Linked DNA regions of Elephas maximus indicus. The protein of the gene in region 3 purifies or fractionates together with the protein of the main gene of each other region. This does not show direct contact. Links are inferred from orthologs where the notes say so. Each region holds a gene or a part of one and is shown on either strand. Other genes may lie near its edges. The genes, in order: MORF4L1, PFN2, ACTB and CORO1C.

Region 1 (7,912 bases), on a different chromosome or scaffold from region 3:
CGTCTGAACCAAAGCCAAAAGCAGTAAGGAGTAAAGGACAGTTAAGACAAAAACAAAAAAGATTCAGACAGACTCTCAGGCTAGTGGGAGCATTAACCAGAACATGAAATGGGTGCTGCAGGGTTCGGATCAACTTTGGACTATGTAACAGTGCCTACAGCACCTCCAAAATGGAAATATCTCATGAACAGGTGCACATGTGCGAAGCCAAGGAGAGCTGGGCTGGAATCATCACTGAGTACTGTGGGCAATTTAACGTGGGGATACAGATTAGCTATAGTGCTAATAAGCAGCAGCACCAGAGATCAGATCTGCTTCCTAATTTCTCTCTTCAGATGCACTCTAAAGGTGTTCTGAAAATGGGTCTATCACAGGGTTTTTTGTTGTTTTGGCTGCTGCTGCTGCCAAAAATAATCACACTAAGGCTAAGGTCTTATGACCTCCTACCTAGTCCTGTATTTCTGCTGAGAACAAAATACAGAGCTGCTAGGGAGTATGACACATGATGACAAATGGCTGTTTTTCATGGCAACAGATTAGTAATTGAGTAAAGAGCAAAACACCATTCGGATGTGATTTCTTATGCCTTCCTCTGCTCCATCTTTTTCCTCATCCTTTCAAGCATCAAATTACAAGGGAAATTCTACCCAATGCTCGAGTTCAAGCTTGATGAGCTTCCAATTCCCCATCCTCCTACTGGTTTGTGCTTCCTAAGAACACTGCTCTCATGCCATCATCTGCCAGTCTCTTAACCCCTGACAATGGGCTGGACCCCTAAGTTTCCTTTACCCTGTGCTTTAATAGACATTCAAGTGGAAGACCAAGTCCAGTGCAAAGTAGTCACTGTGCTCAGAAATTGCTTACATAACATACTCTGTATCTTTATTAAACGAGAAACCTTCAAGAATCATGAAAAGCAATTAAAAAGGCTATTTCCACACTTTCATAATTCATATCCCTATTTTTTACTTCATAAACTGAACTTTTCCACTGTTTCAAGGTAATTGTTAGCATTAATATTCTTTTCAAAACCCTCTAAACATGTTTCATAAATAAGTATAACTTCTTAAAGATGATTCTATGATTCAGTATTGACTTCAGTAGAAAACACACCTGGAAAAGTAATGGACGGTAAGTGCAGAGACAACCGGCCTAACTTTCAAAACCTTACCTGTCCTAACCTTGGTTCCTACTCTCCTCCAATCCACCACTATAGCAATACACACATTATTTGCTGTTATCCACTTCACTCCACCATCTCTCAAGCTTAGAACTAAAGCATTTCCTCCAGAAAGCCATCGTTGACTGCCAGACCTCAATCGTTTTCCTCTTTCCATATCCTACAACAGGCCCCTCACAGGCTTAGGAAGTTTTTAAACGCATAGAACAAAGTATTACAAAGGAAACCAACTATACTGAAATAGTTACCAAATATTTTAAATATTATGTTCTGTGGTATTATATGTGCTCCTTAATGCAATAAACAAAATTTAGCTGTTGATCCAGTAATTACCATAATTTTGAAGTAATGGGGAGCATACATGATGTCTAAAGATATCTTCCAGAACTGTAATGTTAGGATATGAAAATATCTGAGATTTTTATTGGTAACAAAGTCATATTACTGCTAATACTACTATCGGTATTTTGTTTTCAGGGGGTCTACATTCATAATTGAAATACTAAGTGTTTTAGTTAGAAGGTAGAAAAAAAAAAAAGATTTTTTCCCCCGTCCGCGTTCACGGACCCTCTGAATTCCATAAACTGAACCTAGATTAAGCATTTTTGCTCTAAAGCACCTAGTAAGATAATAAATCCGTAAGAGGTACGGTAGAGCTAGCTTCTCAAGATGGGAAAAGGTAGCAATATTCATCAAAAGTACCCTTGGAAACTTAAACAGTCCTTAAAAATACTATATACTTGGTTTGGGGTAGATGTGTTGTTTGTGAAAATTAAAGAGCTGTCTACCACTGGAGATCAGGTTCTAACGCCAGCCAAAACACTTGTCCATCAAAAGCCAATTGATAAAAAAAAAAAAAAAAATCCAACTTCCCAATCACTGTTAATCAAAAGTTATTGCAATTAGTCAAATACCTGCTGCTTTAAAAACGACACCAAGGCAACGAGACTTATTATAAATGGAAACATCAGTAACACCGCATTAAAGTCATTTTGTGTTAACGAGCAACTGCACAGCAACAGCGCACACTCACACTCATATACAATCTTGGCACTCCAGTCTTAGGAAAGCAAAGTGATGCCTTCAGGCAACACAAAGCAGAGGAAAAAGCTATTTTTTTTTTTTTTTTTTGTCCCCACCCACCTCGCTGAGGTAAGCGGTAGGGAACGCTTATGGTTGTCGTGGATGGGGGCGCTGCAGCTGCCCTTAAGCAGCTTCTGCGGGCCCGGCCGAGACGCCGGCGGCCATGATGGGGCGGCCATTTTGCAGCGGCCATTTTACAACGCGGCTCTCCCGCCCCGAGGCACCAAACCCACCCCCCTGCCGCACCTCTGAGTCGCCACAGAAGGCGACCACCTCGGGGCTCGAAGCAGCCCGGCCTGCCTGCCGTTGGCCGCCCACGCAGCCGGCATCCCCGCGAAAGCGCCCGAAAACGACCGCCGTTAACTCCCCTCCCCCCACGCCACATCACTTCCCCTAACGGCCGCCATGGCGCATCCGTCGCCTCCCTACAATAGGCTGCTTTCCCCGCGCTCTTCCTCAGAACAATAACAAACATTTGACTAAGGTTCTGCCACGCGCAAAGCGTTCCCTCTCCCACTCGTCTCACAGAGCGTTTTTTCCCCAATGACGCACGAAAATTGTCCTCCGCAATGCGCTCTGCCTGCACAAAGCACTGCCTGACGCCTTCTCGGGGGGCAGCCCGTACCGCCCCCGACCCCCAAACCTCAACCATCCCAAGCCCGCCTCCCTCTCCCGAGCCGTTAGATGCACTCTCCCCAAAAAAACGGACTCACCCTCCTGGAATTTAGGCTTCGGGTCTTGCTTCGGCGCCATTTATAAGTGATTCGCCGCCTCCTCCTTCTCCCACCACCCCCGACTACCGCCCCCTACTCTCTACCCCACCCAACTCCGCCTCAGACGCGCCGTCAGGCACCGCCAACTCTACATCCTGGGCCCGATTTGCCAGCGCCCGCAGACCTCACAGCACCGCGACCAGCGCAGCCGCAGCTTCAGCCAACGGCTGCCCGCCGCGCACGCGCTCCTGCGCCGGCGCCGTCCCGGGGCACGCCGGGATTGGTAGTTCCAAGTCAGTTGAGTCGCGACGGAGTGGGGGGAGGGGCGGGTGTCTCTTTCTTCCCTTCCCCATCCCCCGCTTCTTATTCCCCACCACCCGTTCCTTACCTCCCGCCTCTCATTCTCCATCCCCTGGCCCATCCGGAGTTCTTAAAGCCTGGATTTGATTTTGTGTGTTGTTGCTGGGGACCACCAACAGTAAAAGAATGGGAAAGGCTAAATCCCATGGGCAAAATGAGGCTGCAATGATGTGGGCGTTGCAGTAGCCTTGCCCCTGAAACTCACTTTCAGTAGCTTTTCCAGAGTAGTAGGAAAGCTTTACGGGCTCTGGCGGGAAGGGGGTGGGAAATAGGGTATGCGTCTGGAAGATCACTGATGGTATATTCGGTGGAGCTGATAGCCAGGCCCCCTCTTCTCCAGCCCTGTTCCTGTGGCAATGAGGAAGAAGATGAAGTGGGAAACACTAGGCAGACTAGGGGATCGACCTTTGGCTTTTTGAGATCAATGGATTTGTGCCCGCCAAAAAACTCTAAAGTGAGTAATACCAAACACCGCCAAATTCGGGGTTCTGCACCTGCCCTATCATCTGTGCCATTTGTTGTCACCTAATTGCTTTGAGCAAGTCTTATTCAAAATACACAGAGTCTAAACAAACGGATTTCCCCATGTCGTTCCCCAGTACCTAGTTTGCTCAGCTACAAGATGGGAATGATAATAGCATCTTTTCAACCGATTTATTATGAGAATTGCACGTAAAGGCTTAGCGGCGTGCCTAACAGTGAATAACACAAAACACACACACACCCAAAAAAAACAGTGAATAAGCGCTCATTAAACATTAACTCGAGGATATATCCCAAAATCCTTAGTCTGGAGATTAATTTCCTTCCACACACAGTTCCCAGCTTATCTAGAGGCCTTATACAAATCCTTGTTTTCATGGCTTTTGTACACGATGTAAGAATTCAGAAATACAGAATACAGCACAAAATTTAAGGAGCCCCTTTTACTTTCCCCAGTTTGCTTCCCCACTATTTGGTGTATACATCTTTCTCAGCCCCAATTTTTTTTTTTTTTCTTTTACCATAAGTGGACTACACATATTGTTCTGGGTCGTCTTCTTTTTTAAATTAATAGTATGGCCTGAGGTCATTCCAATTATATATATAGCTGTATCTCACACCTTTAATACCTCATGACATATAGTATAAACCAACCCCAAAACCAAACGCGTTGCGGTCCAGTCGATTCCGATTCATAGCCACCCTGTACAACCCTATAGGACAGAGTAGAACTGCCCCGTAGGATTTCCCAGGAGCGCCTGGTGGATTCGAATTGCAGACCTTTTGGTCAGCAGCAGCAGCTCTTGACCTCTACACCACCAAGGGTTCCAGTCCAGTGTGCTAGTCATCTAGTGCTGCCATAACAGAAATACCACAAGTGGATGGCTTTAACAAAGAAATTAATTTTCTCACACTCTAGTAGGTTACAAGTCCATATTCAGGGCATTGGCTCCAGGGGAAGGCTTTCTCTCTCAGTCGGCTCTGGAGGAAAGTCCTTGTCATCTATCTTCTCCTGGTCAAGGAGCTTCTCAGGCGCAGGGACCCCATGTCCAAAGTATGCGCTCTGCTCCCGGTGCTGCTCTCTTGGTGGTATGAAGTCCCCAGCTCTCTGCTTGCTTCCCTTTCCTTTCATCTCTTGAGAGGTAAAAGGTGCAGGCCACACTTCAGGGAAACTGCCTTTACACTGGACCACGGAGATGACCTGAGTAAGGGTGGTGTTACAATCCCACCCTAATCCCCTTAACATAAAATTACAATCACAAAATGGAAGACAACCACACGATACTGGGAATTATGGCCTAAACCAAGTTTACACATATTTTTGGGGGGTACACAATTCAATCCATGACACATAGTGTAAATATACAATAATTTATCTAACCTCATTTCCGTTACTGGACATTTATGTTGCTTCCAATTTTTGACTATTAGAAACTTATGCCTTTGAGTCTGTATCTTCATGTACATTGCTTTTATTGTTTTAGGACCCCTAGCCGGAATCGACTTAAGGGCAAAGGGTTAGATGTAAAATTACTAGGTCAAAGGATGTGAGTATTTTAAACAGCCTTATGAAACGCTTCACCAATTTACATTTCAACCAGCAATTTAAGACAGAGCCTGTTTTCCCATATCCTTGCCAAATGTGGTATTATCAATCTCTAAAAATTTGTTTTAATATATCAAGAAGTCATGTTGTGCAAATGAAACCAGACACAAAAGAGTATATTCTTTATCAGTGCTGATAGAAATTAGGACAGTGATTAACTGGGGTGGAAGGGGAGGTTGATTGGGAAAGGGGTACTAGGGAACTCTGGGGTGCTGGAAATGTTCTAGATCTTGAGCTAGTATGCTTACACGGGTGTTTACCTCTGTAAAAATTCATCAACCTATACGCTTACAGTGAATACACTTGACCATATCTACATTATATCTCAATAAAAAGATCGTAAAGTCACTTTTTTTTTTACTTTTTATTATGAAAATTCCAAACACACAGAAGAGTAAAAGGAATAATACAGTATCTACCATCTCGATTCAACATAAAGGAATTGTAAACATCTTCCTATATGTGTGTGCGCTGTGTGTGTGTATGTGAAGACATCATGCCCCTTCATGCCTGACTTCTTCAGTATGCGTTTCCAAAATATAAAGGCATTCGTTCTCCTAATTACCACAATACTGTTACCACACCAAATAAAATTAACAATAATTCTCTGAAATCATGTAACTCACTCCGTATTCAGATTTCCTTAATTGTCCACAAAATATTTTTATATTTGTTTGCTTGTTTTTTCCAAAACAAGAACCATTAAATGATAGTACATTACAGACCTCTTTAATCTTTTAAAACCTAGACCAGAGGTTCTTAACCTGGGAGTCCATGGATATAATACAGAAGGTCCATGAACTTAGATGGGAAAAAATTCACCTCTTTATTTTCACCAAAATCTAATTTTTCATTCTAAATAAAGGTACCAAACTACAGCAGTATTAGCAGGACCTGTGGCTTTGTCACCAATAGAAATTATAGATGTTTTCATAGTATGTTACGGTTATTGCAGATATCTCAAATGTATTTTACGTTTATCACTAATTTGAAATAACTAAAAACTAGTAAGTAGCTACTAGACTTCCCGCTAGTTCTTGTTATTTAATGCATTAATAATTAAGCATATATATTACCATACCACCATATCACATTTTAAAATATTTTTGATAATCATATTTCAATATAATTTTCTTTATAAATCCTGTTTTTATTGTGTGTATTTAAAAAACACTATTCTGAATAAGAGTTCATTGGCTTCATCAGACTCCTAAGCAGGGTCCTTGGCACAAAAAGTGCTCCCCCTCACTTTATTAGTAGTAGCATTAATAACTGTTCGTGACATTGGCGTTTTGACTAGCTGACATTCTGGATTTGTCTGATCATTTACTCATGATGTTACATAACCTCTCTCCATTGTATTTCCTATAAACCGAAAGTTAGATCTAAAGGCTTGATTAGATTCAAGTTGAATGTTTTGTTGACTGAATATTGTGTAAAACCAAATCTATTGCCTTCAAGTCAATTCCAGCTCACAGTGACCTTACAGGACAGAGTAGAACTGCCCCATCGGGTTTCCAAAGAGCGGCTGGTGGATTGGAACTGCTAACCTTTGGGAGAGGAGCTGAACACTTAACCACTGTACCACCAGGGCTCCACTATAGATGATACATTATGCTGTCAACATAAGAAGGCACATAATATCTAGTTGTCCAATTATTAGTGATGCTAAGTTTGATGACTGGTTTAAGTCGTTTAAGACACTTTGTTTTTGCATTATCAAATGGTATTTCATTTCATGGAAGTTTTTCAACATAAACAAAAGTAGAAGGGATAGTATAAATGAACCCTGGTGTATCCTTCACTCAGCTTCTACAATTATCAACACATGGCCAGTCTTATCTCATTGGTACTCCCCCATTCTTCCTCCCAAAATATAAATACACACAAATCCCAGAGATCATGTCTATTTCATCCATTAATAATTTAGTATGTATCTCTAAAAAATAAGAACATTTTTAAGGCAATACCATTATTACATATAAAAATAAACAATTTCTTAATATCTTCAAATATCCAGTCAGTATTCAGATCCCCCCAATTGCCGCATACATGATTTTTAAGACTGGCTGTTCAAATCAGGTTCCAAACAAGGTCCACACATTTCATTTGATTCTCTGTCTCTTTTTCTTGCCATTTATTTGTTGAATAAACCGGACCACAAGAAATTTGCACACGTCCTTAAAATGTTTCCTTTATAAATTAATTGAGCATGAAGTCTTGGGATATTGTTACCGCAAATTGTGGGTTCCAGCCGCCTGTGGCAAAGCCAATACTGAGACAGGAGGAGGTAAGCAGCAAGAGAGCTTTATTGAATACTGGTATTTAAGAGACAGAGGGGGTTAAATTTCTCCCAAATTCTGTCTACCCTAAAGCATCGATGGGAGGGTTTTATATGGGGAAGACCAGGGTTACCTAATGTTTTGAGCACGTAGTCTACAGATGGTCTTATACATCACAAAACAACTACAAAAAACTCTGTTAAAC
Region 2 (7,376 bases), on a different chromosome or scaffold from region 3:
AAAATCAACCCAAAAGGCTAGGCTTTACATGCAGCTGCTACAGAATTAAGCTAAAGCAGTGCCTCTCTTCAGTGCTGGGCAGTTCACAAAAACCACCTTAGTCGCCATTACGGACTACCACTTTTATACAAAATGTGAACGGAAGTGCTCAGTAAGTTGTAATGTGGCATGCAGTTTTCCAACAGAGCACCCTGCTTACCTCTACCAGCTCTGCCGACAGCAACGTTGTATGTTGGCTCTCCACCTTGACTCTTTGTCCGGATGTCCATTGTGCAGTCACCATCCACGTACAGACTATCTCTGATCACCGAGCACTTCTTTGCACCAAGGGTCAAACCGTTGGTAAAGAAACCTTCCCGGTCTTTTCCTACAATCATATCTATTTCTATTGGCTGCCCCCAAAAAAGAACAAAAACAGACAGACAAAAAACATGAAGTTGTAATTAATTCCTTTCAGGCCTCAATATAACAGGAAGGATGGTGTGCCAAAGTTCTACTGCCACAAGACACCCACATTTCACTAAAGCAAAACCAAGGTTCGGTCTTCTAAAAAATTATCTAGTCCTACCTGGTTACATGTTTTACAGTAGTTCAGATTTCACAGTTAACAATGGTCTGCTAGCTAAAGACCAGTCTACACAAAGAATCTCTCTAATTGGTAGTTGACCCTCCACAAACTTAAGAATTACAAACTACATCAAGTGAGGTGGTGCCTGAAGGTGTCTGTGTAACGGTAAAGATTCAGCCACAAAAGCTTTCAACAACAGTTTGTCTATCATTTTCGGTCACACTACACTCAATCATGTTGCACCAAATTTAAAGTTGCTTGACAGTCTCCCAAAATAAAGCCCATGCTCTAGAGATCTGTTTGCCTCTCTCCGTTGGAGAGCTTGAAATATCCCCCACAATAGGAGCTTCTATCGCTTGACCTCAGCGCCTCTCCAAATTCGTATTTCCCTCGTCGCTGTTTTTCTAACCACTACTCTCTACTCCCTTCCCCTCCCCTCCCACTTCAGTAATCAGCTTTCTTTCCCGGCAAAGGACAGGAGGATTCGGTCTGCAGCGCCGCAGGAGGTGACGGTAAAAGAGAGATGATGGAGGGAGATGGGGAAGAAGCCGAGGTAGACCCCAGGACCCGAAAGGAGAGAAGGAGCATGCTAACATTCCATGAATAAGAAGGAAGGCGTCGCCCCCATCAGAACTGCAGAGTCATGGCAGGCCCCAGCCATTTCCAAGCACACTCGGGCCATCTCCCCAGCCAGACAGCGGGAACTCCCACACAAAGACAGGAGGACTGCAGGAAAAGTTGATCGCCAGACGCCAGTCCTCCGGGAGAACTGCAGCTCCCTATGGGCACAGGAGACCCGACAGTCCTCGTGTCAAAGGCGGAGGTCTACACAATCAGACCTTAAACCCTGTGAAGCAGCAAAGGAAGGATAAGTGGCACCCGTTAAGGGGGACCTGAATTTTGGTGTTTGCTGGGAACGGAGAATGGAGACTAAGAAATGAAAGAAATGGGCCCGTTATTTGACACCATCGTCACAATTTTAGGACGAGCCTGGGGCAGAAACAGGCGACACAATAGGCAGATCCGGAGGCTTAGTGACAAATATTCCCCCAAACATGGGGCAGCCAAGTCACAACCATCAAGTCACAAGAAGCGCAGGCAGGGTGAAGCATAAACCTTCATGAGCTCCTTTAAAGCCCTGACTTAGGAGGGAGGGACTGGGGGCAGTAAGGTGTTCCCCGGGCTCCCAGATGACTGAAGCCCCCCGTCCAAGCACCCCCTTTCCGGAGCTCTGTTGCGTAACTGAGAATAACGGTGTATCGATGAGGCTCCGCGGGAGGAGGAAAGAAATCAATGGCAGTTCGCCATCTTGGAGAATTAAAAGACAACCTATACACCCGGAGCCCCAGTCGGGATTCACGGCCCCACCTACGTGCTCGGCGTGCAGGGCTCCGACCGTCCACGCCAAGTCGCTTCGAGGATCCCGGGCCCCGGCCGCCGCCGCCTCCCCCAGCCCGCCGCGGCGCGAGGTCCGCTAAGCGAGGGGCTACCCGGCCACCGGGGGACCCCGCCCGGGCCCGGGGCGCCCCGGCCCGGAGCCCCGACCCCCGCGTCCCCCCCCTCCCCCCCCGGACGTGCAAAGCCGCCCCGAGCTTGTAGGGGACCCGAGGGCGCCGCGCCGGGGGGGGAAGGCGTCCCCAGCCCGGCCGGTGCGTGCCCCCCTCCCCCCCGGCACCCCGACCCGCTCAGGGACTCGCCGGCGCCCCCGCCTGTCCGCGCAGCCCGGGCGACCGCCGGCCCCGGCCCCCGCACCCCCGGCCGGGCAGCTACACGCGCGGCGCCCGACCCTCGCACACCTCCGGCTCGGCCCTCCGGGCCCCGGCCTCCCCACCCCCGGCCCGGCTGCTGCACGCGCGGTGCCCGACCCTCGCACACCTCCGGCACGGCCCTCCGGGCCCCGGCCTCCCCACCCCCGGCCCGGCTGCTGCACGCGCGGTGCCCGACCCTCGCACACCTCCGGCACGGCCCTCCCGGCCCCGGCCTCCCCACCCCCGGCCCGGCAGCTGCATGCGCGGCGCCCGACCCTCGCACACCTCCGGCACGGCCCTCCCGGCCCCGGCCTCCCCACTCCCGGCCCGGCGGCTGCACGCGCGGCGCCCAACGCACGCATGCCGGCACGGCCCTCCCAACCCCGGTTCCAGCCCCCGCACCCCCGGCCCGGCTGCTGCATGTGCGGTACCCGAGCCTCGCACACCTGCCGGCACGGCCCTCCCGGCCCCGGCCCCGGCCCCGGCCCCGGCCCCCGCACCCCCAGCCCGGCTACTGCATGCGCGGCGCCCGAGCCTCGCACACCTACCGGCACGGCCCTCCCGACCCCGGCCCCCGAGCCCCCAGCCCCGCGGCTGCATGCGCGGCGCCCGAGCCTCGCACACCTCCGGCGCGGCCCTCCCGGCCGGCCCCGCGCTGCGACGCCCGGCCCTGCTGGGGTCCGGGTCCGGGCCGCCGCCGGTCCTCACCGTAATGCTCTGGAAGACGCCCCCGGCCGTGGCGGCCCAGACGTATTTGGCGTCGCAGTAGCCGACAATGGCGGCCTCCTGGCAGCAGCCATCGCACATCAGGTTATCCACGTAGCTCTGCCAACCGGCCATCTTCGAGCCCTTCGCACTGCAGCGCGGACGGCGAGGAGCAGCAGCGCAGCGGCGGCGGCGGCGGCGGCGGCGGGGGGGGCGGGGCGGGGGCGGGGAGGAGGCGGCTCTGCGCAGGCACCGACCGCCCCCCTCCCCGAGGAGCTGCGGCAGGAGGACGCGGGGACGCCGGGGAGGGACGAGCCGCGGGCGCGCCCGGCTCGGCCGCCCGCCGTCCGCCCGCCGCAGCCGCGGGCTGACTAACCAGCGGCGGGAGGCTGCGGAGTGGCTGTGCCGACAGCGGCCGCGCCTGCTCCTCCCGCGGCTCCCTCAACCCTCGCGGCCGCGGCGGGGTGTGTGCGCGCGTACGTGCGATCCTTCCGCGGCGCCCCGACACGGAGGGTCCCGGGAAGGGAGGGGGCTGGCGGCGCGCGGAGGGATACCGCCCCGGGACAATCACGGCCGCCACGTGCAGGCGGCGTCCGCGGGGTCGCTGGCGGCGGCCGAGCCTGGCGCCGGGGCGGCGGGGGCGTCCCCTCGGTTGCCCTCAGCGCCCCGGGGTCAGCACCTGCGGCGGCGGCAGGGATGTCCGGGAGTCCCCGCGGCCGGGCCTGGCCGTACCGCCCTCCCGCGCGCGGCGGTGCGGGATGCGGGCTCTTGAGCGTCAGAGTCGGGTTGCAGCGTTGCCCTGGCGACGCGATGCGGGGCGGTTACGCTCCTTTGTGGTGGGGCGGCTGGCGGCAGGGTCGCCCCTAGGCGTCCCCCGCGGGACCCGGTTCCCAGATCCCTCTGCTCCTCGCTCAGAAAGGTACCCAGCGGGCGCCCCGGAAAGCTGCAGTCGGCGCAGGCGTGGAGGCTCCTGGGGACCCTGCTGAGTTTTGTGGGTCCTTCATTGTTGCCTCTTTTAGGTAAAAGGGGCCTCGCGTTCTTGAGATTCTTTGCCAGGAAGAGCCCTGTTGATGTTACTAGTCAGTTGTGGTCGAATAACTTGTCAATTCCGAACAAAGCCAATAGCGACCTATATAAACTGTTTTTTGGAAACGGAGAATGATACGGGTGGGCCGAGGCAATGGCTGAAAATACAAAGAATAAAGATCTAGGAAAGGACCCACTAAATGAACATAGCGACTTTTCTGCTCTTGAGGGGTAAAATAATTTCAGGACCCAGACCTGAGAAAGGCTCGTATTTACAAGGTTAGCGGTGGGCAGAGCCCCTGGGAACGGCCTCTCGTCGTCTTCGCTACGATTAGACGCGGAATTCAGCGACGTCCCACAACCATGGCACCAGTTTTCACGTGCCAGTGAAAGAGAACAACTTTAAAACGTTGAAAAGTTGATGCCGAACTTGAAAGTTATCGTGTAAGGTCACCATTTGTGACAGGAGAATTACAAGAATGTAGCTCGGGAGAAGGAAGAAAAGAACGTTGCTAGTCCATCTAATAGGTTCTGAAATTTGTGTTTTTCTCCTGTTGGCTTTGAAATGTCCAGCTACTGCAGGGAGAAGGAAAAAAAAAAAAAAAAAGCAGTAGGTTAAACCCCAAATCAGGGACCTATCAGATTGAGACTGTATTTTCTCATGTTCTGAAGACAATACCTAGGTGGTATGAAATGTGTGCAGAAATGTTTCATTTTTGCAAGTGTTCCTTCCACCTGATTTAATTACATTTACTTGGTCTTGTTAACTCCTCTGCCTTTTTGTGATTGATGATGGTTTTAGGATTTTATTCTAACATTTTATCACCTTAAAAGTTAATAGTTACAGGGTGCTGTTAACACGGATATATTCATTTTGTGAGAATTCATCACGCAGTACATTTATGATTTGGGCACTTTGTATATAATCAACAAGTTTAATCAAAAAGTAATGACAGAAAAGAAAAATAATAGTGATGATAGTTTAAAGAAGTACGTTGAAATTGAGTTTTACTTATTAATAGAGCCTGAAGGTTTTTAAGATTTCATTCCAAGAACACTATACTATTGTTACATCAAAAAGTGAGAAATAACTACATTTCATTTTTATTCTTTAATTCTTGGCTTTAAACAGCATAAGAAAATACACACCTCAAAAGATTCTAAAACACGTCAGGTAAAGCATTCGTAAGGATTTAGAATTCCTGTCTTTATTTTTTCTATATTTTTCAAAATGCAACAGTACCTTCTAAAATTACTGTTTTACATTTCCAACATAGTGTTATTTTCTCAAAATGACAGTAAAATTTAAACAATTATGAAAAATATATTCTGCCTGATAGGCTAGTGGAAACCCTGGTGGCGTAGTGGTGAAGTGCTACGGCTGCTAACCAAAAGGTTGGCGGTTTGATTCCCCTGGGTGCTCCTTGGAAACTCTATGGGGCAGTTCTACTCTGTCTTAAAGGGTCCCTGTGAGTCGGAATCGACTCCACGGCAGTGGGTTTGTTTTTTTAATAGACTAACTGAATTTTACACTTTAGTTTTTTTATGTTATATATTCAGAGTCCATTTACCGTCTGTTTTCGCACTCAGATAAAATCATCTTGTGCTTGTTTTCCCTAGAGCCAGATCAGTTTCCTTCCTGGAATGTGCCTTATTTACCATTTGTTAGCTGCTCCTTGGAAGCCCAGTGGGGCAGTTCTATTCTGTCCTATAGGGTCACTGTGAGTCAGAATCCACTCCGCTGGAAATGGATTTGGTTTGGTTTATACAGTGGTCACTTCCTATTTCATATAACTTATTGCTTATCACAACATGTTTCAAAAAATATATGTAGAGGTAGAATACTGAGACTAAAGAATAGCAATATAAGTTAAAACAAAATTTAAAAAAAAGTCATTGTCCTGTTGATTCCTGACTCATTATGACTCTATGGGCACAGTAGAACTGCCCCATAGGGTTTCCAAGGCTGTAATCTTTCCAGAAGCAGACTGCCACATCTTCTTCCTGCGGTGCTGCTGGTGGGCGTAAACCAACTCTCCACTAACCTTTGGGCTAGCAGCCCAGTGTTTGACCACCACGCCACCAGGGCTCCACTTAAGTCCAAAGGAGTATCAGTTATAGAAAAAGAATCACAAACCTGTAACTTAAGTGCAAAGGAGCCCTGGAGGCACAGTGGTTAAGTGCTTGGCTGCTAATCAAAAGGTCTGCTAACCCACCAGCCGCTCCACGGGAGAAAGTTGTGGCAGTCTGCTTCCATAAAGATTACAGCCTTGGAAACTGTGGAACAGTTCTACTCTGTCCTATAGGGTCGCTGTGAGTAGGAATCAAAGGGATGGCAATGAGTTTGGTTTTGGTAACAAGTGCAAAGTGGTAACAATATTAGAAAATGAGTTACCAACCTGTGTCTTTCTCTAAAGGAGCCATGGTGGCACAGTTTACTCTGTCCTCTAGGGTCGTTATGAGCTGGAATCAACTTGACCGCACACAGCATTTTTCTCTAATTTTTTCAACAATAATAGCAACGTCTGGGCAAAAGCTGAGAAAAATTGTGGCTCTTTTGTTGATACATATACCCAGAATGATCTAGCCATCAACAATCAGTATGTTTAAATTTGGGGTACATTATTATGCATTCTTTCCAAAATTTTTTATTCTTATTTAGTAAAACGGAAACAGTTCAGCATACCAGATTGTTTAATGTATAGGTCAAATAGTGCCTGAGCCATGTAAGTTCATGAATAAATCATTTGATATTTCAGCAAAATATAAAGAAACAAGAAATTAAGTTGTTATTGTTAAAATGTACTCAACTTGATACATATTGTGGTAGGAACTAAAACTGTAGAATATAATTGCTCAAACTATAATAAAACCATAATTAAATAAACTCACTCCAACACTTCATTTTTGGAAAAAATGTTTCCGTTATAAAAGTAATCCCACAACAGCCAAGAAAGTTTTAAAAATAGAGAAAAATCACAGCTATTCATGCAATCTAATACAAATGTCACCTTTTGAGTTTATTCGCTTATTTTATGTATGATTTTTATAAGAAAGAACAGTAGTACCTACAATTTTCAATTTGTCAATTTTTCTCTGAAATTCTGTGAATTTTTGCTTTCTGTTTCGAGGCTAATTAAGTGCATACAAGTTGACGTCGTTACATTTTCTCTCTGATGAATTTTGCCTTTATCATTAACTACTGACCTCTTTATCACTAGTGTGTTCTTTCTTGTTGCTATATAATATTCCACTGTGTGACTACACTGTAGTTGATTCATCTGTTTCCCAGTTGGTGGCATTTGGATACTTTGGAGACTTTTGTGCAT
Region 3 (7,937 bases):
TTAAATCCTGAGTCAAGCGCCAAAAAAAAAAAAACAAAAACATAAACCAAAAAAAAAAAAAAAAAACAAATAAAGCCATGCCAATCTCATCTCTTTTTTTTTTCTGCGCAAGTTAGGTTTTTGTCAAGAAAAGGTGTAACGCAACTAAAGACAGTCCGCCTAGAAGCATTTGCGGTGGACGATGGAGGGGCCGGACTCATCGTACTCTTGCTTGCTAATCCACATTTGCTGGAAGGTGGACAGCGAGGCCAGGATGGAACCGCCGATCCACACTGAGTACTTGCGCTCAGGAGGAGCAATGATCTGGGGAGAGAAGCAGACAATCTGTGTGAGAACTGGGATGTGGCGGCCCTGTGGGACTGGCACATGGTGACAGAAAAGCCTCCTGAACATCCTAGGGAACCACACGCCAAGATGGCTGACGACCGCTTGGACAACCACTGGGACCATCCCACACAATGGCCAACAAACTGGTGGCCGTCTCCCAACTCATGTGACTGGACACACACTCACCTTGATCTTCATTGTGCTAGGTGCCAGCGCTGTGATCTCCTTCTGCATCCTGTCAGCAATGCCCGGGTACATGGTGGTACCGCCGGACAGCACTGTGTTGGCGTAGAGGTCCTTGCGGATGTCAACGTCGCACTTCATGATGGAGTTAAAGGTAGTTTCGTGGATCCCACAGGATTCCATTCCTGGAAGAAAATGGAAGGCAGACTAGATTTAGTTTTGCTGCAGGGACACCTGGCCCTTGTGCAGGGCAGGGGCCAGGAGCCCAGCTTACTCACCCAGGAAGGAAGGCTGGAAGAGGGCCTCGGGGCAGCGGAACCGCTCGTTGCCAATGGTGATGACCTGCCCATCAGGCAGCTCATAGCTCTTCTCCAGGGAGGAGCTGGAGGCCGCCGTGGCCATCTCCTGCTCGAAGTCCAGGGCAACGTAGCAGAGCTTCTCCTTGATGTCACGCACAATTTCCCGCTCAGCCGTGGTGGTGAAACTGTAGCCTCGCTCCGTGAGGATCTTCATGAGGTAGTCCGTCAGGTCCCGGCCAGCCAGGTCCAGACGCAGGATGGCGTGGGGGAGAGCATAGCCCTCATAGATGGGCACAGTGTGGGTGACCCCATCGCCGGAATCCATCACGATGCCGGTGGTACGGCCAGAGGCATACAGGGACAGCACGGCCTGGATGGCCACGTACATGGCGGGGGTGTTGAAGGTCTCGAACATGATCTGTGGGGAAGACATGAGGCCTTGTCAGGCACAGGAAGCTGGCCCTGCCCACCCAAGAGGGGAGGGAACAGCCAGACCAGACCAGCGACATGCAGAAAGTGCAAGGAACACAGCTAAGAGTGCTGGGGGTGGGGATGAGGATTCAGTTCAGACCTACTGTGCACCTACTGAATACACACTCTGAGGCCATCTTACACCAGCCTCTTGGTTCTGGCATAGAACCAGTGTTAGTACCTACACCCACAGCACTAAAGGCTTAAAACACCTAGTCACTGAGACAAACACCAGAAAGAGACTGCGTCTGGGGAAAGGCAAACAGAACCTGTACAGTTCCACAGGAGACTGAGATCAGAGAAGAGACTCCTAGGAGAACGGCAGAAAGAAGGACAAGTGAGAAAGAGCGTGGTGGAGAAAGTTAAAAAAGGGTGGCGGATGCCACCCAACAGGACCCCATCTGGCCACTGACCTGGGTCATCTTCTCGCGATTGGCCTTAGGGTTCAGGGGGGCCTCAGTCAGCAACACAGGGTGCTCTTCGGGGGCCACACGCAGCTCGTTGTAGAAGGTGTGGTGCCAAATCTTCTCCATGTCATCCCAGTTGGTGACAATACCATGCTCAATGGGGTACTTGAGGGTCAGGATGCCTCTCTTGCTCTGGGCCTCGTCGCCCACATAGGAATCCTTCTGGCCCATGCCCACCATCACACCCTGCGGAAGAAGGGCAGGAGGCAGTCAGCATTGACCCCCGCCCATATGGCCTTCCCAAGGTCCCAGGGGCCGCGCCCAAGAGAGAGCCCCACCCACTCACCCACCCACTTCGAATAGACTGTCGCCTTACCTGGTGCCGGGGGCGCCCCACGATGGAAGGGAAGACGGCCCGGGGGGCGTCGTCGCCCGCGAAGCCGGCCTTGCACATGCCGGAGCCGTTGTCGACCACGAGAGCAGCGATGTCATCGTCCATGGCGAACTGCGGGGAGCAGTCTATGAGCAGGACGCCCCCGCCCCGCCCGCTGCGCCCCTCCCCGCTTCCGGCGCGCGGCAGCCTCGGGCCGCCAGGGGGCGCCGGCGCGCGGCCTCGGGACAAAGGAAGCCGGGCCGGCCACGTTATTACCATAAAAGGCAAAGGTTGTTCGGCAACGGCCGCAGGCCAGGCCCCGCCCCCCGAACGCCGGCCCCGCCCAAGCCCCGTTCAAACCCGGCTGGGCGCGCGGCCACACCCTCGGCGGGCGGAGGGAGTTAAGTGCGCGCAGCCGCCTTCACGGCTGCTGCGACCCCACCCCTTCCGGGACGGCCGCCCCGCCCTCACCCTACAGGCCCGGCCCGCGCTGTCCGCGTTCGCGGCTGCCGGACGCACGCGCAGTAGCGCCCCAGCCCCCACACGGCCCCGGCTTGGGCCCGCCGCGCGCTCCCACCCACTTAGCCAGGCGGCTGGCAGCAAGCAGCCTGCCCGCTCAGACAAAGGCTGGGTCTCCCCAACCCCGACCACTGAACCCCTCAGGGCCGTGCTTCCCAAGCCCTTGTTCCCGGGTCTTCACTTGTCGCGGGGCCGCGGTTTGTGGGCAGACACCAAGGCAACCCGGCCAAGGGGTGCTGGCTGCCCAGAAAGAGGGCACGGGGACTGTGCGCGGGGTCCCGCCATTAGCGCGGGGACTGTGCGCGGGGTCCCGCCATCAGCGGGGGGGACTGTGCGCGGGCCCCGCCATTAGCGCGGGGACTGTGCACGGGGCCGCCATCAGCGGGGGGACTGAGTGCGGGGTCCCGCCATTAGCGCGGGGACTGTGCACGGGGCCGCCATCAGCGGGGGGACTGTGCACGGGGCCGCCATCTGCGGGGGGACTGTGCACGGGGCCGCCATCAGGGAGGGGACTGTGCGCGGGGCCCCGCCATTAGCGCGGGGACTGCACGGGGCCGCCATCAGCGGGGGGACTGTGCGCGGGGTCCCGCCATCAGCGGGGGGACTGTGCACGGGGCCGCCATCAGCGGGGGCACTGTGCGCGGGGTCCCGGCCAGGGGCTTACCTTTGGGGTGGCGGGTGTGAATCGGCGGCGGTAGCGGTGCGGTGGCGAAAGGCCTGTGCTCGCGGGGCGGACGCGGTCTCGGCAGTGGCTGCGCGACGCGCCGCCGGGTTTTATAGGGCGCCGCTGCGGCAGCTCGAGCCATAAAAGGCAACTTTCGGAACGGCGGCCGCTCATTGGCCGCCCGCCGCTCACTCACCGGCCTCGCCGCACAGGGCAGCATTTTTTTACCCCCTCTCCCCTCCTTTTGCAAAAAAAAAAAAAGAGAGAGCGAGAGCGAGATTGAGGAAGGGAGGGAGAGTTTTGGCTTTGGCCGCCCTTGGGTGCTGGGTTCGTGGGCCAGGGTGCGCGCCCTGGGCCACCGCCTGCCCCGCTCTCCGCACCCCCTATCCGGGACCCTCGGGGTGTGGATGTCACATGAGCAGTGCACGCCCGATTGGCACGGGTCAGCTTGGGTACTGCCAGAGGCCTGGTTGCTGTGGGCACCTGCTTGAGGAGCAGCGGGAGAGGGGAAGTGAGGTGGGGGCAGTCAGGGGTCACTGCCCGTTGCCAACATTAGCGAAACTGCCTGGACGGGCTGGGGGTTTCTGGCTGGAATGCTCAGCTTGCTACGGAGCAGGGGGGCCCTACTCAGAGGTCTGGGGCTGAGGGTAGGGGTTGGGGGAGTCAGGGGGCTTGTGGCCACTTAGAAGGACCTCAGGGCCCAGGCCCCAGGACCCCAAGGTTTCACTGTGCGGAAGTCTCCCAGCCACCCCAGCCACAGGCTTTGGGCTCCATGGAGCAAGGAAACTGTTCCCATGGTGCCAGGCTGCCTCTGAGGGCTGCCTGGGCACACCCAGGCCAGACCAGGGCCGTTAGCCGGTGGCCGAGCAGCTGCTAGGCCCTGCTGGGCTCAGTACAGCCCTGAGGACTGGGTCACCATCCATTGTCATGTGTAGCTACAGCTGAGCTGCCTACCTGGACCATCTGGAGTCTGCAAAGAACACTGGGGAGGGACACTGCCTGTGCCAGAGAGGAGCTGGGGGACAGTGGTGGTGGGAGCTGTCCTTCAAGAGCCTCTGGTCACTCTTTCTTGCCCTGGGTCTGTTCACCAAACACTGGGCAGGACCTCTATGCCCAGGAGTGTTCCAGGTGGTCAGCAGTGAGTGGCCCACTTCCCTGTTCCGGGAGCTACTAGCCTGATTTGGGTAGCCACATCTTGGTCAGTGTGTCCAGACAGAAGCCCAGGGCCATGGGATCCCAGAGTAGCATGTGGCTCTGGCTAGGGAGGCATGCAGGCCTTCTGGAGCTGGTGACAAGAAGTTGGACTTGCATATGAAGAAAACAGGAAGGTGGTCCAGCTAGGGGCACACACTAGTTGCCACCACTGGTCCATGCTGGACACCCTGTCTGCCCAGGGCTTTGCAGCACATAGCACGTGCTTGGGGAATGTGTGTGGAAATGAAGGCTCCATTAGCCCTCATAGGGGTGTGGTACCTGTGGCCAGGAAAGAGGTGGCAGAGCACTATGAAGATGGACAGAGTGACCACCACCCAGCTTACAGAGGAGGTCATAAGCTCCGAGCCCCATGCACACATTCCCAGAGGCCTGCCAGGTGACTTGCCACTGCTCCACTGTTACCGCCCAGGCCTGGGAGCACTTTCTCAGCCTGTCCACTCCCTGCCTCCCCTCCCTGGGGGCTGGACTGCCCTGTCCCTGGCCTTGTGTCTCTCAGTGGCAGGAGTCTTGCCAGCCGCCTCAGAATCTGCCAACCCTGTGATTCAGCAGGCTGGGGGGCAACCTTTTCCACTCACTGTTGATGAGGCTGTGCTCCCGTTGTGTGCACAGAGCCTAATGGGTGCTGAGCAAGCGGGGCGGGCCAGAGCTATAGGGCAAGGGTCCTGAGCTCTACCTGGCCTCTTCTCAGAGGCCTCTGCCCAGGCACCCAGCCAGGGGCCTGTCAAGTGACAGGCACTCCAGCTCACCTCGCCTCAGGCTGTAACATTCCTGGCCTTCTGGCTCCCTCTGCCTGCAACCGCCACTTCCTTTTGCTCTCCTATGCATCCTGCAAGGCCCATCCAAGAACACCCCTCCTTGGGGAGCCCATTAGCATGGTCCACATACACCCTCCTTCTCACACAAGATCACTGTGCTGGGCCCACATTTATAACTGAACCTTTGGAGGGTCTTGGCCTCCCTACTTCCCACCACATGCACCCCAGGGGCCTACTCTGCTAAATGAAAAATTGACCACCTGTCTGTCCTCAATCCCTGGGAGGTGCAGAAGGTTAACTGAAAAGCTGTAACTGAAAAGCTGGGGCTTCTAGTATACCCAGAGACACTTTGGAAAAAAGGCCCTGGCAATCTATTTTTGAAAAACCAGTCTTTGAAAACCCTATGGAGCACAGTTCTCTGACACACATGGCATTGCCATGAGTTGGAATGGACTCCACGGCAACTGAGTGGCATCTGACTGGGTGTCCTCAGCCTTCAGAGAGGACCCTGTGGAGATGGGGTGCAGGAGGGGGCTAGGGCAGCCAGCCTAGGTGGGGGAGGCGCTCAGTTGGCCAGTAAACAGGCCAGAGAGAGAAAGCAAGCAGAGGAAGAGGAAAAGAGGAAGTGGAGAGCTGGAGGGAGGGGGTGGAGAGGGCAGGAGAGAGGAAGTGAACAGGTTCTTCTTAGCTTGGGAAATTCGCTCTTGCAGGGAGTTTCACAGCTGGGACTTCAGGTCTCGGCAGAGCCACAGCAAGACCTCAGCTGGGGCCCAGCCGCTGCAGACTCCACCTGCTCCCCTGGTACTTTTTCTTTCAGCGCCTTGGTCCCACCTCCATGCCTTTGCTCTAGGGATTCCCCCACCCTGCAAGGCCCCCAGGCAAGGGGACATCTCTAACACGGTGTCTTGTAGCATTTACAGTGCCTATGGAGGGGCCACTCCCTTGAAGCCCCACTGCCAGGCGGGGGTCCCACGCTCCATTTTTTTGAGAAGGGAGGCTGAGCAGGGCAGGAGAACTCCCTTTCTAGACTTTTGGCTCCAGTAGGGCAGAGACCCCACATACAGTAGGTGCTCAGTGAGGGGTGACTGAGTGCTGGAGTGAAGGAGGAGCTGAAACATCTCGTTTTTACAGATGAGGAAACTGAGGCAGGACTGGTAAAGCACGTAGGGCTGGCACCCCTGTGTGAAGGATCCAAACTCCAGGCACCCAGAGGTGGCAGCCTCACCTTCCTTCTGACATTGCCGCTCCCTGGCTAAAGTGTCCCCTGGAATGTCCCCAGGGACCTGGATCAAAGGTTCTTCAAAAGGCTGAATTCCTGGACCCTTCCCTCCTCAACACTTGCCTCCTGAGGACCAGAGAGGACAGCACCAGCTCTTGGTCACACAACAATCCATCCTGAGGCCCCATACCTGCTCTCTCCTGCCACTTCTTGCCCCCATCTCCCCTGTTTCTAGAATGTTCTCAAGGCACAACCCAGACCCCTTTGAGCAACTGGACCTCAGGAATCTGGAGAGCATGTGCTGGGGGTCCCTCTGCCTCCTGCCCAAGATCTCCTCAGCCTTCAGTGTCCCCTCTTGGGCTGCCTCCTCCAGGAAGCCTACCATGACTTCCTCCCTCCTCTGACAGAATAGCAGTAGCTTTCCTGCTCAGAAAGGCAAAGAAGTCCAGCCAAGATCACACAGCAAGGGCACAGCCAGGAGCTGAATCTGAAAGGCCTTTCCTCTGGAGCACCTCCTAGATCACACTGATCCTGCTTCCCACGCACCGATCAGCCAGACAGGCTTCCAGAGTTCATTAGGCACTGTTCTGAGCAAGGATCATGAGTGTAATCCTTGAGACAGACCTCGAACAAAAGAGCAAAGAAAAACAAGTCTAATGCCTCTCTGAGGGCAAGCACAGGTTTCCTTAAGAAGGAGAACCTGAGACCAAATCCACTGCCATCAAGTAGGTTCTGACTCATAGGGACTTTATAGGACAGGGTAGAACTGCCCCGTAGGGTTTGGGGGCAGTTGACCTTTTGGTTAGCAGCTGAGCTCTTAATCACTGTGCCAAAGGACAGTCAGGGAGGGCCTCTCTGGGGAGGTGACAGGCAGCTGAAGGAGGTGGTGAAGAGAAAGGGAGGGTTTCAGAGGCAGGAGGGCTGGGCTGGGCCATGGCCAGGGTCACGGACTCCACCTAGGCCAAGCCTCCAGACATTGCCTTTCCTTGTGCCGGACAGTCGGGGCCTTCCCTGCTCCCAGCCACTCATCTGGCAAGGGGGGACATTGCCCTAGAGAAACTGGGAACTGCTGACGCTTCTTGGGAGAGTTCGAAAAAATCCTTAAAAACTACCCTCTCTCTTGCAGTCCCCAGGGCACCCAGAGAAACCTGCCTTGCCCTCCCGGGGAGTTCCCAGCCTTGCTCATTTGATTCAATTATTCAGACAAAGAAAAAAGTCTCCCTGTACTTTCCCTTCTAGACACACACAGATACATATACGCATATGCATACACACATATACATACATACACATGTACTCTGTACTCATGTACACACATACACACACATCAGCTGGTTCCTTTCTTCTTGTCCCTGAATACGTCGGCCATAGGGCCAATTGTCCCTGTTCTCCAGATGAGAAACTGAGCCAATCCAGATAGACCCAAAGAGCTGAGAGGGAGCCTCCCAGGCAGCCTGGGGTCGGGGGCGGCCAGGGGTCCTGGCTTCCCAGGCCCTCTCGTAAGG
Region 4 (8,267 bases), on a different chromosome or scaffold from region 3:
TATAGAATCTTGCTCACTCACTTTAAAGGATCTGAACTAGGGCAATGAAAACCCAGAGAGATTCAATTACTTAACATTCTAGGTACTAGGTCATACTGAAATATTCATGAGGTTTTCCTGTTTTAATACAGAAAAGGCATCTTAAGTTAAAAAGGACTTTCCCAGAAGTGTCAGAAAAAGAGTTTTCGGAACTCAGGGAAAGGAAGGTATCAAACGGAAAATAAGCTTAAGAGTTTTTATCACATGATTTTGCGCCCTGAATATGAAAAGTGGTACCCAAATTTATTATTGCTCCACCCACAAAAGAGGTCAAAGGTAAACAGCCTAACTAACAATACCTGTTTCTAAAGCAGCAGTTTGTGACAAAGTAAAATATTAAGAAACAAATATTTTGCAATCATGAGAATTGAAGCTTTCACATTCCCAGGCATATAATAACTAAAAACTAATCATTTATCCTTTTGGACATTCCATTTCACAGGCATTAGAGCAACTCTGCTCCTCATGGTTGGAGCAGATCCCAGAAGTGACAGATGCGTTAAGCCTACAGTTTAAATTTAAAAAATCCAACAGTGTTTAAAAAATATTTGCCAATCCTGCATCTAATCCTAAACTACACAGACAGTAAAAGACATAAATGCTGATTAGTGTCATCTATAGGCAAAGTAATAAATGATCATGAAAAATTCCATACCGTGTGCAGTGATATTTCACTGGCATGTCCTCCCCCCACCAAAAAAAAAGCAAACCCATTGCCACTGAGTTGATTCTAACTCATAGCAACCCTATACGATAGAGCAGAACTGCCCCATAGGGTTTCCAAGGCTGTAACCTTTACTGAAGCAGGCTGCCACATCTTTCTCTCACAGAGCAGCTGGTGTGTTTGAACTGCTGACCTTTCTGTTAGCAGCCGAGCACTTAACCACTGCGCCACCAGAGCTCCTTCACTAGCATGTGTCTATTAAAATTCATTAGGCTTTAATGTACCGTTAACATGAACTCAAGAACAAACACAGACAAGGCACATTTTGGATTTATGAAAAAAGGTGTGTTCCTGGCTTGTATGACCCACCTTTGTTCAATCCTCAGTGTACGTGACTATCACCTACCACAAAATAGTGTACTTCAGGGTCTAATGTACTGTATATTTCTCTGTATTAATTCACTTTTTTCTTCCCTATCAATTTATGCAATTGCTCAGCTCCAGTGCTTACTATTAGGCTTCATATCCTAACATTATGACTGGAACATATCTCCACGCCAAATAAATGTTTCCGTAAATCAGCCTTCTTAAATGTACAGGCTCATGTCCAAAAGGGGCTTTCTTCAGTTTTGTAGGGAATGAAGAGAGTGAATCAATATTAAACAGACATGTATTAGCCACTGCTTACACTTAACCATGTTCCTGTCTATTCCAGCAGGCCCTGGTGTCAGGAGGGATTTCTGCCAGATAAGGACAATGAGATGCATTATTATATAGAGTGACTAAGAGCCCTACAAGCACTGTTTTAGAACGTAAGCCCAGGCAGGAAGGTTGGTTGTGCTAAGAGGATCTAGTATTCTGTGATAACTATTTCCAAAAGTCAATATATGTGCCACCCAGTACCAGTTTAAAAACACGCACTAAATTCGATTCCTTTAAAATGTCTTATGGGAAAGAAAGGCTATCCTGTAGATGAACAACTTGCAATTTGCTTCTCACTGTGAATCCCACGTTTGCAACACGTAGAGCAAGCACTTCAGACACCACAAAACAAGGGCAGCCTACATTAAGGCCAAATATAGGGTGTGATCCTAAACCATGATGCAGTTAAAGCCTACATTTCCTTTTCCAGCGCTGAAAACCCTTTGAACACTCCCAAAAAAGGACCGCAGGGCCTGTGCCTCCCTCTAAGAGGAAGCCCCTTTCTTCTCCGCTCGCTCCCCGCAGCCTGCGGCTTCCCCCTACACATTCAAATCACTGGAGAGACAGAGAGCTGGTGGTGTGCCTGCGCCGGTGTGGACGGCGGGAGGGCTCGGTTCCTGCATTTTCACCCTCAACATCTGACCTCATGCTCAGTCACTGGGGCGCTGCGGAGCCCCACCTGCCCCCCGCTCCTTTTGATTACTCCCTCCAGCTGCCCCACTAAGAGGGGAGCACATCCCTGGATCTCCCCGTTCACTCTCCGCCCCAGACCCCCCACTCTGCAGCGACCCTGCTCCGGTCTTCCTCTTGCCCCCGCCCCCGCCCCCTCCACCCCGCCAGCCCCAGCCCTCGGATCCCTCGGTCCGGCTCTGCCTCCTCCCAAACCGCCCCCACCCATATTACTCCAGCTCCAGCCCTGCCCCGCCCTTCCCGGGCCCCTACCCCAGACCTTCAGGGCTCAAAGCTGATCTTGCACCCAGAGCCCGGCGACCCCCAAAACCCGGGGGCCACCCTCGCGCCGGCCCCACACGAGCCCGGTCCCTACCCACCCCCACCCATTCGCTCCCTAGGGCGGCTCAAACCCCGCCCCCAGGCCTGGCGCCTCGGGGCCCTGCTCCCCAGCTGCAAGCGGCCCCTCCTCACCAAGCACTTCACCCATCGAGGGGGGTCTCGGACTCCTCTGAAACCTCCCTCGGGCAGCCCCCTCCGCACTAGCCCCCACCCCTCCCTCGGCCAAGAAGGTCCTGAACCCCTAAAAGCCTCCCCTGAGCGGCCCCCTCCCCACACGGACCCGGGCCCATTCTCCCCAGGCCAAGTCGTTCTCTCCCCAAACCTCCCCTCATCCAGATCCCCAGCCTCCCGCAGCAGCCCCCGGCCCTAACCCCTGCACATCGGCCGGGGCGGACCCCGATCCGACTATCCGCGCTCCACGCGCGGACCCCAGTCCGCTCCCCTCCACTGGGCCCTGCCCCACGCCCCGCCGACTCCTGTCAGCCGGCACCGGCACATGCTGCGAGGACCGGTTCCCGTGCCCGGCTCGCTCCCGAGCGGCCCCACCGGGCGCGCGCCGCTCACCAGGGCCGAGGTGCCTGAGGCGCCGCCGCCGCCGAAGTCCCCGCTGCAAAGCCGGGCGAAGCCTCTAACCGCTGCCGCCTCCGCCTGGCACTAAGCGCCGCGCGGGGGAGGGGCGCGGGCAGCCGCCGCTGCTGCCGCTCTCAGACCCCGCCCCCGCGCCGCATCGCGCCCAACCAGGGCCGCCAAACTGGGGCGGGCCCCGCCCACTTCCGGGAGGGGAAGCCCGCTTCCCACCCCTCGCCCCGCGCCCGCTAGCGCCACCTCTGGTCGCGCCGAGGGATGTAGGTGGGGCCCGGAGGAAGGCGGTGTCCAAGCGTAAGCACCGCCCACCAGTCATCGAAGAGGCCGCAGGGCCACGCCCACAAGCTCCTCCGAGCCACGCCCATTGCTTCAAAGAAGCCGACGCAGGCTTCTTACAGCTCCGCACATCGGTCCGCGAGGCTGTGAAGGGCCAGGACCCTCCGGCCCCGCAAGGATTCACCCACAGTCCCTTAAAACCCGAACATCAGCTTCTCTGAGCCCCGCCCGCTGCACATCAAAAACCCTTAAGCCAGCTTCTTGGCTCCCTAACCCGACTTCTTGCCCATGGCCTTAGAACTCACTCGTGGGCGCCACTAAACACCGTTTCCCCACCCCGATTTCCAGAAGCCCCGCCCACAAATCCGGAATTCTATTCGCGACATCCCAGAGTCCCGACCTCTGCCCCGAATTCTAGAAGCCCCGCCTCTGGCTTCAGAAGCTCCGCCCCTGCTCCCTTCACACCCTCCAGCCAAAGTTCCAGCCCTCCCTCCACCTCCCACTCCCACATTCCTAGTACAGATTGGCAGCCCCTGGGCTGGGCCACACACACCTAACCCCCCACAGTTACACAGGAGGTTCTGTTATTGACCACGTTTCGCAGGTGAGAAAACAGAGGTTCCAGGCTCCCTCCCTTCCTTTCCCTGGCCAAAGTCCTTCACTTTGTCTGCTCTGGCCTGAAATTCAGCTGGTTCCAGTCGTAGCTCTGCACCTGTCAGACTGTGTGACCTGGGGCAGTTCCCTTCACCTCTCAGCCAAGCGCTTAACCACTGCACCACCAGGGCCCTTTCCTAATATTTAGCTTGAGGAAGTTGTCTGTCAATAGCCAGAGTCCCTTTCAGGTTTGGGAAAGTTGGGCAAGAGGAACGGAACTGACAAAACAACTGCTGAGAGTTAGGGCTATTTACTTCCCAAATCCAGGCATGTTTGCCATTGACACTGGGACTCTCATTTTAAACATCAGCCTCGGAGGGACATGTGTCCACCTAAACCAAAACGTCTACCAATCACTTTCACAGCAAATTACTTATCCTCTCCTCAATTTCTTTATCTGTAAAAATGGGGGGGTGGGGTGGGTAATAGCAGTCCCTCCCTTGCAAGATTGTGGAAAGAATTCCATGAGATCATCTTTGTGCCTGGCTTGGGAAAGCCCACCAGAAATGGTACCTGTTGCTACTGTTGCTGTTATGGAGAGGTGGCTTTCACTTTGCCTTCAAGTAGCCACTGCAAAAAAACAGGGCCTCATTCACCAGACTGAGTCCAGTAAAACTACATGGTGCCCAGCTACCACCACTGACTGCTCTGACAGGGCTTACCATAGAGGGTCCTGGACAGAGCTGGAGAAAAATGTAGAACAAAATTCTAACTCAGAAAGAAAGACCAGACTTGTTGGCCTGACAGAGACTGGAGAAACACAGAGTATGGCCCCCGGAAACCTTTTCAGCTCAGTAATGAAGTCACTCCTGAAGTTCACCCTTCAGCCAAAGACTGAACAGGCCCATGGAACACAACAAGACTAAAGGGGCATACCAGCCCTGGGGCAGGGACTGAAAGGCAGAAGGGAACAAGAAAGCTGTAATAGGGAACCCAGGGTTGAGAAGGGAGAGTGTTGACATGTCGTGGGGTTGTTAGCCAATGTCATGGAACGATGTGTGTACTGTTTGATGAGAAATTCGTTTGTTCTGTAAAGCTTCAACTAAAGTACAATTAAAAAAAACAGGGCCCCCTTTCTGCACAAGATTTTACACTTACTTCATTTAAATGAGATAAAGAGGTAAAGGACCTAACACCCGCAAACAATTTGCTATCGTTATGATTCTTATCCTTAATTAAACGAGGTGCCTTGATAGCAGTGGGTTCTGATTGGTTTGGGGGGAAATGAGGGTTAATAAAGCTCTTTGAGATTGAACCAGGAACCAATCTGGTTTACTCTTTAGAGACAAATTATCGTTAGTATTTATTCATGACTTATAGAAGCAGGTGCTACACTGAGCGCTTCACATACAAAATTGCCTGAAAACTCCTCAACAATCCTATGGCCATAGAAACAATTCTTTTTTTTTAATTTCATTGTGTCTTAAGTGATAGTTTACAGCACAAATTAGTTTCTCATTCAAAAATTTATACACAAATTGTTTTGTGACATTGGTTGCGATCCCCACAATGTATCAGCACTCTCCTCCTTTCCCTTTCCACCCTGGGTTCTCCGTGTGGAAGGGCAGTTCCAGTTTTCCCATCCCTTCCTGCCTTCTCATCTTTGGTTTTGGGCAGGCGCTGCCTATTTGGTCTCATACACTTGATTGAACTAAGAAGCACATTCCTCATGTGTGTTATTGTTTGTTTTATAAGGCCTGTCTGATCTTTGGAAACCCTGGTGTGGAGTGGTTAAGAGCTATAGCTGTTAACCAAAAGGTCAGCTGTTCGAATCCACCAGGCGCTCCTTGGAAACTCTATGGGGCGGTTCTACTTTGTCCTATAGGGTCGCTATGAGTTGGAATCGACTCGATGGCAATGGGTTTGGTTTTTGTGGTTTTGGTCTCATCTTTGGCTGAAAGGTGGACTTCAGGAGTGGCTTCAGTTCTGAGTTAGCCGGGTGTCCAGGAGCCATAGTCTCGGGCATAGAAAAAATTATTAATCCCCACTTTATAGGTGAAGAAACTGAGATTTGGGAAGTTAAATGACTTGCCCAAGGTACACAGCTTGAACCAGGCAGAGCTAATACCGGAACCCGCCTCCATCTAATTGCAGTACTGCGCTCTTTGTCGTTACACTCAACTGCCTCCATGACAGCGTGATGGAATAGAAAAGCCATGGACTTTGGATGCTGACAGAGCTGGATTTAAATTCAGGTTCTACCACTTATCAGTTGGGTGTCCTTGGGTAAATCACATTAGTCTATGGACCCTACTCTTCTCAACTGTAAAGTGGGAGTCATCCAAATGCTTCAGTCATGGGGTGGTTTTAAAGATTCAATGAGTTAACCCATGGTGAGCACCCAGCACTATGCCCAGCACATACCAAAAAAAAACCAAACCAGTTGCCATTAAGTCATCTCCAACTCATGGTGACCCTATGTGTGTCAGAGTAGAACTGTGCTCCATAGGGTTTTCAGTGGCTGATTTTCCAGAAGCAGATTACTGGACTTTTCTTTCAAGTTGTCCGTGGGTGGACTCGAACCTCTGAACTTTTAGTTAGCAGCCAAACTTTGTACCATTTGTACCACCCAAGGACTCTTATGCCCAGCACATAAACCAAAAACCAAACCCGTTGAGTCGATTCTGACTTACAGCGACCCTATAGGACAGAGCAGAACTGCCCCATAGGGTTTCTGAGGAGCGCCTGGTGGATTCAAACTGCCGACCTTTTGGTTAGCAGCTGTAGCTCCTAACCACTATGCCACCAGGGTTTCCACCCAGCACATAACCCCAAAACCCAGTGCCATAAAATAGTAGGTGCTTAAAACATGTTGATTCCCTTCTCCCCAGTTCCTTAAATGATGAAATTAGAAGTACGATTTCCCATGACACTAGTTCCTCCCAGATGACACCATCACGAAGGTCATCAAATACACGGAGAAAGAAGAATGGCAAGACTTTTGCCTTACAGCTGTGTGTTTCAGTGCCTCGTTTTGTCTCTGTGTTGGAGAGGTAATTCTTGCAGACAGTACCAAAGCCAGAAGCAATGCCACTTTCCCTAAACACCCCCACCCCCACTGTCAGAATGTGGTCAGCTGAGAGCTGCTACTCCTAGAAGCAGCAGGAAAATTGAATAACCCTTTACTGGAAGTAAACCCCAGCATCTCGCTGTTCTAGAATCCACCTGTCTTAGTCAGCTAGTGCTGCTGTAACAGAAATAGCACAAGTGGATGGCTTTAACGAAGAGAAATTAATTTTCTCACAGTCTAGTAGGCTAGAAGTCCAAATTAAGGGCGTCAGCTCCAGGGAAAGGCTTTCTCTCTGTGTTGGCTCTGGAGGAAGGTCCTTGTCCTCAATCTTCCCCTGGACTAGAAGCTTCATGCAGGAATCCCAGGTCCAAAGGACAAGCTCTGCTCCTGGTGTTTCTTTCTTGGTAGTATGAGTTTCCCCCTCTCTGCTCACTTCCCTTTCCTTTCATCTCTTGTAAGATAACAGTTGGTACAGGCCACACCCCAGGGAAACTCCCTTACATTGGATCAGGGATATGACCTTAGTAAGGGTGTTAAGGGTGCTACACCTCCTCTTTAACATAACATTAAAATCACAAAATGGAGGACAACCACACAGTACTGGGAATCATGGCTTAACCAAGTTGACACATATTTTGGGTGGACACAATTCAGTCCATGACACTACCTCAACCCCTTTGTGGGTCTGAAGGTAACCTTGGCTCTGTCCCAAATGGTGGGATTTGGGGCCAGGTAAGATGCTGAATTTGAGAGTCCTTTCCTGCTCTCATGAGTCCCTGGGTGGCAGAAACAGTTAAGTGCTCAACTACTAGCCGAAAGGTTGGCAGTTAAAACCCACCCAGTGGTGCCACAGAAGACAGGCCTGGTAACCTGCTTCCGTAAAGATTACAGCCAAGAAAAACTCCATGAAGCAGTTCTACTCTGTAATACATGGGGTCACCAAGAGTCAGAATCGGCCGGATGGCTACAAGTTTGGTTTTACTGTTCCCAGGAGTCCCTGGGTGGTACAAATAGTTAAGCACTTGGCTGCTAACCTAAAGGTTGGCGGTTCAAGTCCACCCAGAGGCACCTCAGAAGAAAAGCCTGGCGATCTACTTCTGAAAAATGCGTCACTGAAAACCTTGTGGAGCCCAGTTCTGCTCTGACACACATGGGGTTGCCATGAGTCAGTCAACTCGATGGCAACTGGTTTGGTGCTGCTCTCAAAAGCTGGTGATTTCTCAGGGGTCATCTACATCAACTGGTACAACATAGTTCATAAAGATAAAGCTCTACATCATATTTTGATGAGTAGTGTCTGAGGTATTAAAAGTTTGCATGCAGCCA

Evidence for each region.
Region 1: the proteins of ACTB (region 3) and MORF4L1 purify together in Homo sapiens (affinity purification with mass spectrometry; 3 studies listed by BioGRID, with this or other methods). This does not show direct contact. The link is inferred for Elephas maximus indicus from reciprocal best matches to the Homo sapiens genes ACTB and MORF4L1.
Region 2: the proteins of ACTB (region 3) and PFN2 purify together in Homo sapiens (affinity purification with mass spectrometry; 3 studies listed by BioGRID and IntAct, counting the BioPlex papers as one, with this or other methods). This does not show direct contact. The link is inferred for Elephas maximus indicus from reciprocal best matches to the Homo sapiens genes ACTB and PFN2.
Region 4: the proteins of ACTB (region 3) and CORO1C fractionate together in Homo sapiens (co-fractionation; 3 studies listed by BioGRID). This does not show direct contact. The link is inferred for Elephas maximus indicus from reciprocal best matches to the Homo sapiens genes ACTB and CORO1C.

What each region holds. Positions count from the first base shown.
Region 1 is NC_064831.1:68,715,109-68,723,020, reverse strand, and holds the start of MORF4L1 (mortality factor 4-like protein 1), read right to left. Parts: upstream 3,077-7,912; 5' UTR 3,017-3,076; coding exon 2,977-3,016; intron 1-2,976. UniProt on the Homo sapiens protein: Component of the NuA4 histone acetyltransferase (HAT) complex which is involved in transcriptional activation of select genes principally by acetylation of nucleosomal histones H4 and H2A.
Region 2 is NC_064841.1:9,982,747-9,990,122, reverse strand, and holds the start of PFN2 (profilin-2), read right to left. Parts: upstream 3,234-7,376; 5' UTR 3,157-3,233; coding exon 3,025-3,156; intron 393-3,024; coding exon 200-392; intron 1-199. UniProt on the Homo sapiens protein: Binds to actin and affects the structure of the cytoskeleton. At high concentrations, profilin prevents the polymerization of actin, whereas it enhances it at low concentrations. By binding to PIP2, it inhibits the formation of IP3 and DG.
Region 3 is NC_064830.1:100,216,903-100,224,839, forward strand, and holds the start of ACTB (actin, cytoplasmic 1), read right to left. Parts: upstream 3,341-7,937; 5' UTR 3,244-3,340; intron 2,193-3,243; 5' UTR 2,187-2,192; coding exon 2,064-2,186; intron 1,934-2,063; coding exon 1,694-1,933; intron 1,228-1,693; coding exon 789-1,227; intron 696-788; coding exon 514-695; intron 304-513; coding exon 160-303; 3' UTR 1-159. UniProt on the Homo sapiens protein: Actin is a highly conserved protein that polymerizes to produce filaments that form cross-linked networks in the cytoplasm of cells.
Region 4 is NC_064840.1:19,274,491-19,282,757, forward strand, and holds the start of CORO1C (coronin-1C), read right to left. Parts: upstream 3,091-8,267; 5' UTR 2,981-3,090; intron 1-2,980. UniProt on the Homo sapiens protein: Plays a role in directed cell migration by regulating the activation and subcellular location of RAC1. Increases the presence of activated RAC1 at the leading edge of migrating cells.